Schizosaccharomyces pombe: one gene and its partner. Changing the gene in region 1 together with any one later gene gives a genetic interaction. Each region holds a gene or a part of one and is shown on either strand. Other genes may lie near its edges.

The links.
Region 2: mutations in gma12 (region 1) and otg1 impair growth when combined (synthetic growth defect), as found in Schizosaccharomyces pombe (one study listed by BioGRID).

What each region holds. Positions count from the first base shown.
Region 1 is NC_003421.2:315,037-319,852, reverse strand, and holds gma12 (Golgi alpha-1,2-galactosyltransferase Gma12), read left to right. Parts: upstream 1-2,000; coding exon 2,001-3,128; 3' UTR 3,129-4,026; downstream 4,027-4,816. Other genes in the region: msf1 (phenylalanyl-tRNA synthetase), read left to right, coding at 4,200-4,816. UniProt on the Schizosaccharomyces pombe protein: Involved in the O- and N-linked oligosaccharide modification of proteins transported through the Golgi stack. This occurs in cis Golgi where the enzyme transfers galactose from UDP-galactose to a variety of mannose based acceptors.
Region 2 is NC_003424.3:165,178-169,924, forward strand, and holds otg1 (alpha-1,3-galactosyltransferase Otg1), read right to left. Parts: upstream 2,563-4,747; 5' UTR 2,359-2,562; coding exon 1,243-2,358; 3' UTR 637-1,242; downstream 1-636. Other genes in the region: alpha-1,2-galactosyltransferase Gmh1, read left to right, coding at 1-540; alpha-1,2-galactosyltransferase Gmh2, read right to left, coding at 3,633-4,673.

The DNA of each region.
Region 1 (4,816 bases):
TTTCTTATTATCTTTAACGATAACCTAGATGGTCTTTGATTTTTCATTACACACTCTCATAATTAGCACGTTAAAGAAGCTTTGGAAAGCTGAGTGAGCATTGCAAAAAAATTTTAAATGGAAGTAGACAAATTGACTCTTTTCTGCAATGTTCGGAGGAAATAGTTCCTTTCTGTATAATCCTTATTTGAAAGTTTAGGATTTGCGGAACCCTTTTTTTTCTTTTCCACCCGGTCCGATAGTTGTAAAGGGGACAAATTTATTTTTGTCCGTTTACAAAAATAAAGAAGTAAAGCAGTGTAACTAAAGGGGAAAACATTGAGTTTTATGGTAAAAGATCCTATGTTCCATTAAACATCGAAAAAGGTTTGTTGGCTTTGAATTTGAATGAAGTTACATGCAGTTAAGTTAGCGAAACGATCGATTGGAAATTCCTAAACAATCGGTATGGTATGGGATGGGACTAAATAATTGGAGGAACTTGCTATAAGGTAATTAATAATATAAAGAAGCCGATAATATACAGTATGGTAATAGAAACAAAGCAATGAATCTTGCTCAGTCATTACTAGTTTGCTCTCTAGGGTTAAATTAGTTGGATCAGTAATTTTCAATCGAAACAAAAATATTTAAATAAATACGAATTATGCTTTACTTAGATTTATTATTGTTTTATTTTTATTTATTGCTCTTTTCATCTTTTTTAGAAGTTTTATTGTCTTTCATGTTTGGAATAGAATTTTTTCCCATTAAGCGGCAGTACTAAAAAAAAATTATTTCGATGTCTTTTAAAACCTGAATGATACTATTATATCTCTTTAAACTACTTTTATTTCTAGCACTTGCCATGTTGTTTTGTAATATTGGCTTTACCAGCCATTTGACTTTTTCTTTGTTTACACTAACATCACCGCACCAAAGCGTCAAGAATTTACTGCAGAATTTTACCAAAGAATGTAGAAACTAATTTTCTTTGGAAATTCGGGATTGCATCGATGCACAAGTCACTGACTTCTATAAATACAATTGTTTAGCAAGCTCCCTTTTTTTATTTTCAATAACAGGTAACACGTTTGGCAGGTAACAAGGAGACAATTAATCCATCACTCCAGAAACATATTAGCATTCCCCCCCGATTTAAACCTGGCCTTAACTTACCACCAATTTTTTTTTGCTTAAGGCAATTGGTTTTGTGTTTGTTAACATTCTAATTGTAAGACCTTGACGAAAAACTGGTTTTAAAGGATTTTTTACTGAGCTAATTTATTCGTTTATACGGGCTTTGTTCATTTCGCTTTTGGTAATCTCACTTTTTTTTGGTTTCCAGAGGCATTTTTAAATTTCAATACTTTTTCTTGAGTTTTTGATTTTTGCTTTCTTTTTAGTTTTGCGTTGACAAGTACTGAATTGTAATCTTTATCGTGGATTTAATTAGATTCAAGTGATTTTTAACACCTACATTGCCAAGTAGTATTAAAGTATTCATTTCATTGGTTTGGACTAGTTATATACTTCAAACTGGTGTTTACTTCCTTCTTTCGCTTCTTTTTCTTTCTAAACTTTGCTATATTTTGCCTTCGTTCGTTAGGTTACTATTTATTTACAAATTGAACCTTTTCATATAGGTTCTCTACAGGGATTTTCTTACCATTACTTATTGTAACAGATTTCTTAGTTGAGAGAATATTTTCACTTGGGGGGGTTTTTTTTCTTTTTAATTCACCACACGTATCTAGGTTTTCTACATTCTCTTGGATACAATCTCTTTTATTGCACAGAATCTTCTTTGATTTTCGTCTAATATTCCTACTGTCGGTTCTTTTACCCTTCCTGTTTCTACTTTTTAAAAGCTCTCATATATCACTCATCACCATCCTTTCTCTAATTTTATCTTTCGTTCACTGCTTAATTTTGCATTTCTAAGGAAATTCTCCGTTCCTTTATCATTTTATTTTATTTTGTCTCTTCTATATTATTAGTTTACTCTTGATTATTTGACAATGCGGTTCGCTCCTTATTTAATTAGTGCTGTTGTAATTACAACCATAATCCTGGGTGGAGCTTGGTGGACTTCAGCTATGGATACCAAGCTTCAAACGAAGATGAAGGAGATCATCGACCAACACACGAGTACTTGGACCCCAGTCGTTTCCTCCGTAACCAGTACCCAAACTGATACTTTACGTGTTACCATTAGTGAAGTTGTTAGTGTTACTGCCACTTTAACCGAAACTTTCACTGCTACTCCAACTGTCACTTCTGTAGTTCATGCTTTAGCTACCACTGATCCTCATCCGGATAACTCTAAAATCGTCATTTTGATGGGCTCTAACTTTCAAAATGATGCTAACTCTCCTCTCCATCCTTTCGCTCAGTCCATTATCAAAAATCGTCGTGAATATGCTGAACGCCATGGTTACAAATTCGAATTCTTAGATGCCGATGCCTATGCTTCTCGTGTTACAGGTCATTTAATGCCCTGGGTTAAGGTCCCTATGCTTCAAGATACGATGAAGAAATATCCTGACGCTGAATGGATTTGGTGGCTTGATCATGACGCGTTGGTCATGAACAAAGATCTTAACGTCGTCGACCATGTGCTTAAGCACGACCGATTGAATACCATTTTAACTAGGGAGGCTGAATATAAGAGTGGTGCAGGTATCCCCGCCGATGGATTTAGAACTCCAAAGGATCAGGATGCTAAGGATGTTCATTTCATCATCTCTCAAGATTTTAATGGTATTAACGCTGGCAGTCTTTTTATTCGTAATAGCGAAGTTGGCCGCTGGATTGTTGATTTGTGGTTTGAACCCTTATATTTGGATCATATTCAGGGATATGCTGAGCAACAAGCGTTTTCTCACATGGTATTTTACCATCCCCAGGTGTATAAACATGTAGGTGTTGTCCCACTTAAGGCTATAAACGCATATGATTTTGATGATAATATTTGGGGCTATGACGACGGGGACTTGTGTATCCATTTTGCTGGATGTAACTATTTTAAGAATTGTCCCGAGAAGTTCCTTAAGTATGCTCAAATTTTATCTTCTAAACAAGGATCCGATTGGATGTCTGCTCAAGAAAAGGATCATATTCAAAATCTTTTGAAACCATCATCCTAGTTTTTTTCAGTCACGCATGGAAAAATACCTTGTACTTTAGACTGGTTTAATTTCATGATATTTGTCATTTTACTCAAGAACAACGTCTGTCCAGTATGTTGGTAGTTTTCTCAATTTTTTATTATCGGGGATAAGCAAACTCCTTCTTTCATTACTAATCAAGTCATTTAATTATCCTCCCCTCCTTAGTGAACACCTTAATAGTTTCTCCCTTTTCATGATTTCATGAGCTTAGTATCATTACGTTCAGGACCTTCTAATTTCGTGTTGGAGGATTTTAGTGTTGTCTAATCTATTTCCTTTTCTAAAGTCAAGTTTTGTATCGTACTTTAAGTACAAAGTTCGAGTTTTGCTGTTACGCTTCAAACCGTTTTATTTAATTTTTAAACCCCAGCCTTTCTTGGAGTAAAATGTTAGTAGATGACAAACTTGTTAGGGGTTTGAATGAATTTTCATACGCAGAATGCTGCTTTCTTTAAAATCGGGATGATTTGAAATGTTATTTGAAATGTTGAGTTTTTTGTAGCCTACATTACGATTGTACGGCTTATAGGACAGTGAAGCTATTAAATACTTGATCTAATATGACCGATTACAAGAAAGTCCTTGATAATTTTTCTGCACTTCTTTTGAAGTTGGCAACTTTATGTACAGTATGATGCTCTATCTTTCTAAATAAAGTTATGTCAGGAGTCTTATGGAAATAAAATTTGCAATTCGTCGTAATGAAATCCATTTGAGTGATAATGGCTTTTGAAATTAAAGCATATATTTTTTTTATGCAAAAACAATGAATGAAATATTTGTAAACTGACCAAATCTATAAACCACTGCTTGAAAATTAAACGATTCGAATTTTACTCCTTTGTTCATTGTATCCAAGAACGGCACAACCCCTATATTTGGGTACTATCATTTTTTTACTTTCAAATGGGACGCAATTAAGACCGATTGATTGAATTCTATTAAATTATTATTATATATTAATTTTAAAAATAGTTAGCTTCGTTGTTCTAATTTAAATTATCATTGTTTGATTACAAAAAGTGAAGTGTGTTATTTAAGAAATCAATGTTCCCTCATCGAGTCTCTCATTTATCGAAACTATTTTCGAGAAGGTTTCCCAATTGGAAAAGAAAAGTCCAAACAGATTCTTGGTCCAATGTCCCAGAGCATATTCACTCAAAAATTGGTCGAAACCTTTTTCAAAAAGAAGGTCATCCCATATGCAGTCTACGACAACTTCTCGAACAGCAATTTCAAAAATTCGAAATGAATAATGTTCAAAAAGAATCACCTATTGTTTCTGTAGAGACGAATTTTGATTCTTTAGGATTTCCCAAGACACATGTAAGTAGAAGCAAATCCGATACTTACTATATGAACAATAAAACTTGTCTTCGAACCCATACCTCGGCTCATCAACCTGAAGAGTTCTCTCGCTTGGCCAAAGAAGGATTTAAGAAAAATGGTTTCTTAATAACCGCAGATGTATACCGTCGCGATGAAGTGGATTCTAGTCATTATCCAATTTTTCATCAAATGGAAGGTGCATTGGTGTGGAACAGAAATGATACTGCAAAAATGAAAAATGATCTAAAAAAAGTAGCTCTTTCTCCATCTCTTAAGTCAATGGTGGATGATGAAACTACTGCATTAGAAACTCATAATGACATGCAAGATATTTA
Region 2 (4,747 bases), on another chromosome or scaffold:
CCATCCGCAAAATGGATCTGGTGGCTAGATCAGGATGCTCTTATAATGAACAAAAATCTGTCCTTACAGGAATTATTTCTCTCACCTGCAATGCTCCAAAAATCATTGCTTAGGGAGCAACCAATTATAAACTCTTTCGGAGAAGATAATTTCAGAATCACTCCAGCGGCTTACTCCAAGGAAATGATAGAACAAATACAATTTCTAATTTCTCAGGATCATAACGGATTGAATGCAGGAAGCTTTTTAGTACGAAATTCAAGATCCATCGCTTTACTAATGGATTTATTGACTGATCCTTCTTTGGCAGATGCAGGAGTCGTGCGTCATGAACAAGATTTGATCGGCTATTTCATTCAAAAACACTCGCAGGTAGCTTCCATGGTTGGCATTCTTCCTCAAAGATTTATCAATGCTTTTCATGAAGGACCCCCTACAATGCAATGGCAAGAAGGAGATCTAGCTCTTCATTTCGCTGGATGTTGGGTTGAAAACAAATGCGCCGAGTTATGGACTAAATACAAAGATAAAATAATTTAAAAGGCTAAATCAATGCCCAAGTGTCGGCGCGTTATAGCCTCTAACATTTTCAATTGCATTTACAGTTAATTTATTATTACTATTTATCTTTTACTTCGTTATATTAATGCCGTCTTATTTAAACATAAATGATTCGCTCCATAAATAATTATGAAGCTGCACATTTTTACAAATCTAATTAATTTTCTTAAAAAAGAATAAATTCTATAAAATGCTTCAAAAACAACCCTCTAGACATAAAGTATCTTTTTCTAAAAAATATTAATGTCTAACACTAATTAAACTATCCTGTTTGGACCTCAGGCTAGTTTAAGCATCAAAAATTGCTAAACGCTTGTGATAATAATTAAAATTGGGGTTTGTTCATAAGGTCTAATGAGTCCATAATGAAGGAGAGATGAGAGGTATATTAAAATCAACCGCAAGTCCAAAATTATATTCTAAAAATAGGCTGACCGAAAGCAAATCACCGCTAACGGGATTTATAGACAGACGCAGGTAATAAAGTTGTATACATAGCCAGCAATCAAAGAAAGCTGAAGAGATCTAAACAATGTGCGTTTAGACAATAAGGATAGCAAGTCTAAAATAAAATTATGGTAATAAGTTAAAGAAATTTTCAAATATATAACATACAATTAGATTTTAACTTCTAATTGTAAAATAAGGTCACAATACAGAAAAAAGAAAGGTATTCCTCCTTTAATGAGTTTCATACTTATGAAAAGACAGCATTTCGCCATAAGCAGCATACCAGTCAGCTAAATATACTGGTGCAAATTCTGAGCTACCAATATTCCAGAATTTTCCGTGTGCTGTTTTTAAGAGAGGACGTTCGTCAATTGAGGGCCACACGCCATTGTAATAAGGATCAAGACGAGTCCAGGGAAACCATCCGTCCAAGGAAAATGCAAGATTCAACAAGCTTTGCTCCATCATTTTGGCATTCTCATACATATAAGGAAACCTTCCGATTTTAAGTATACGGTTAAAATGAAGCTCGCTTGGACGTATAAGCATTAAGCCAGCATTGAAATAAGGAGTATCTTCTGGAGGTATACTATGATGCTCTCCTCTATCAGAGACGGCTGCGAGAAGATAAGGGTAAAATTCGCTTCGACTGGCACCATATTCTTTAAAATCCTCATTGAAGTGATAGACGGTATCATCATCAGGCTTCGTGTAGGAAGGTAGCCGTGTATAGTTCAAGGTATTAATTTGTTGGTACATATAAGGAGTATCAAATATATCATCAATGTTCTTCATGATCAATATATCACTGTCAATTACGCAAATTTTGTCAAATTGTATTTGTTCGAAAATTCGCAACTTCGAAAACATTTGTTCATATCTAGCAGATATTTCTTGACTAAATGAGGATGTATCGTATACAATATCCGATGAAGCAATGGGGTCTATAACAATCACAGAAGCACCATCCTTTCGAAAACGTTCAATTTTCCACTCATCTACTCCACGGAGTGCAAGGATATGGATAGGGTATTTACTTTTGGTAGTAGGATGATATTTCAATCGGTGAATTAAAACCCTAGTAGCGTTGAAGTAGTAATCCTCTTCAGTAGAAGGCATAGTAAACAAACTCATATACGTATATTTGCCAGGCTCTTCTTTTAAGACGGCATTATCATTTTCCTCAACAAAGTTGTTTTTTAATGAAGTAAGCCGGTCATTAAGGGTTTGCTTATAATCGTGTCCGTTAAACACTAAGGTTGTCATCACAATAATCAAAACCACAGAAAACAACAGGAATTTGTAACGCGGAAGAGATAAAAAATTTGAAAGTGAAATTCGAGACATGATAAGAGATTAATTCAACGAACCGCTGAAACAATAGAATTTGAGACACGTGAAATTTTCGAAAGCCTTAAAAAAATGAAAAAAGGCTCTAAAGATGACTCCCTTTATGAGGATGTTACCCTCTAAAATTTATTTATTTCTTTTACCCTTAAACGACTTGCGTTAACAACCCTTTAAAGAAAAAATATCCGAGATTTATGTTTCATCACGCGGGTTGCTCTGCATTTGTCAATTTATTACCAGCACGTTGTTTGTACCATGTGCCGCGCTATATTCAGTTACAGTATTGTAATTCAAATTGTGGAATTGCCTTTTACAAATCCTAACGCTTTGTTTTTTCACAATCATCTTAGTTTGTGTGTAATGGTGTCAACTTTCGAGCTATCTGGATGTTGAAAATTATGAGCTTAAGCATGTAATAGAAATTGACACTAATGAATTAATTTGGTGAAGTTGTTTCAAACAGTGAAAAATCTGACTGTTAGCTGGAAAAGTATTGGAAATACCATTTAGCTTATTGGTAAAGTAAATATTGTGTAAATTTAACGAAATATATTTTGTCGATAAATCTATTCAAATATTCTTTCTCCTTGACCTGATAGACCTCATTAATCGGAAAATGCTTCTAGGTTTGTAAAGACACAAGTGTAAACAGTGGGTGCACAGACGTAATGGAACCACCGTTAAAAAATACATCTTTTAGACTTAGCAACTAATCTATATCTTTATAAGGCCAAAAGCCAGTGTAATCAATATAAAATAAGGACATACCAATACTTTGTAGGGCCAAAAAACAAGATAAATAAAAACTTAGTATAATCCGACACGAATGATTCAATAAAACTTCTATCAGCATTTAACAGAAAATGGCAGCTGCGGTGAAATGCAAATTATTAAAAAGATTTATTAACGCCAAACTGTTATTCCAATCTTCAATATTGCATTGGTAAATTGCCAAAGCAAATTAGTTGAACCAACAGAAACAGCTTCAAAGTCAATGTGAAATATATACAATATATAACAATTATTGATGGACGATTGTGTAAAACAAAACTCCCAGATATCTCGCTATAAAAAACTAACCTGAAACTTTGATTGCTATGGCACAACCGCTATATTAATTAGGTATGTAAAGATTAAAAAATAGTAAACATTATTAGAGATTCAGATAAAGAAAGGAAGATTGACGGAAAATTATACGGCGCTTTGTTTATATATATAAAATTTTTTAAAACACAAACAAATTAAACAGACGGATATAATGAATAAGCAACTTAGTCAATCAAGGCGTAAAACTTTTGCCATAGTTCATCGCAGCGGTTTTCAACCCAACATCCAGCAAAGTGAATTACCAAATCACCTTTTTGCCATTCCATATTTTCCGGACCTTCGTGAAAAGCATTTATTTTTCTTTGAGGAATAAGGCCAACCAGCGAAGCAAGTTGTGAATGCTTAGAAATCAAATATCCAAGCATGTCTTGTTCATTATTGGCTTTCGCACATTCTGCAACAACAGGATCTGTCCAAATATCCAAAAACAAGGCAGTAGCAGGTGAATTACGGAACAAGATACTACCTGCGTTTAATCCATTGTGATCCTGTGAGATTATGACCATGAGATTTTCGATATCTTTTAAACTATAATTACTTGGTGTATAACGCAAATCCCCGTTAGCATTTATAGGCCGTTTAGTGAGGATGGTATTAGTAATTAAGGTCTTTTGCAAGTTCTCAGGTTTCAAAAAGGAGTCTTGAAGGGAAAGATGGGTATTAGTAATAATTGCATCCTGATCCAACAACCAGATCCATTCCGCTTTGGGGTATTTCTTCATAGTTTGTAAGACGGCGGGCATCTTGGACCAAACGGCGGGAATAGGGAGGCCAGTAACATTGACATACTCAAAGTTGTAGTTTTGTTTGGTACTATAGTCAACTCTGTTCTGTATAGCTTCTTCAAACGTATTAGCTCCATTATTGTAAGAAGTGTGTCCATCACTAACTAGTAATAAGACAATATTTTGACTGGCAGGATTTTGCTGAGGCTCTGACTCGTATGACGCCTCGTGGAATGTAGTGCTTGTGGCCACCAAATGAGAGTCTAACGGCGCCAACTCAAACGAGTGATTAACGGATGGAGTGCCAATAGCATCGGAGAGCATGGGTGCAATTTGCTGATCATACAACTGGTTAACCTTCGACACCAAATCAACGTCCACAAAATATATCAACGAGTATAGAAACGCGCCAGCAATCAAGCCGACCGTTAAAAATAAGAAAAAAAAACGACGTGGAATCCTGGATAACATAAGTGCCATCTTTAGGTTATAACAATTCTTCAGTAAATCAATTAGAAATAATGAAACAATAACTGGAAAACTTTTTTTGAAAA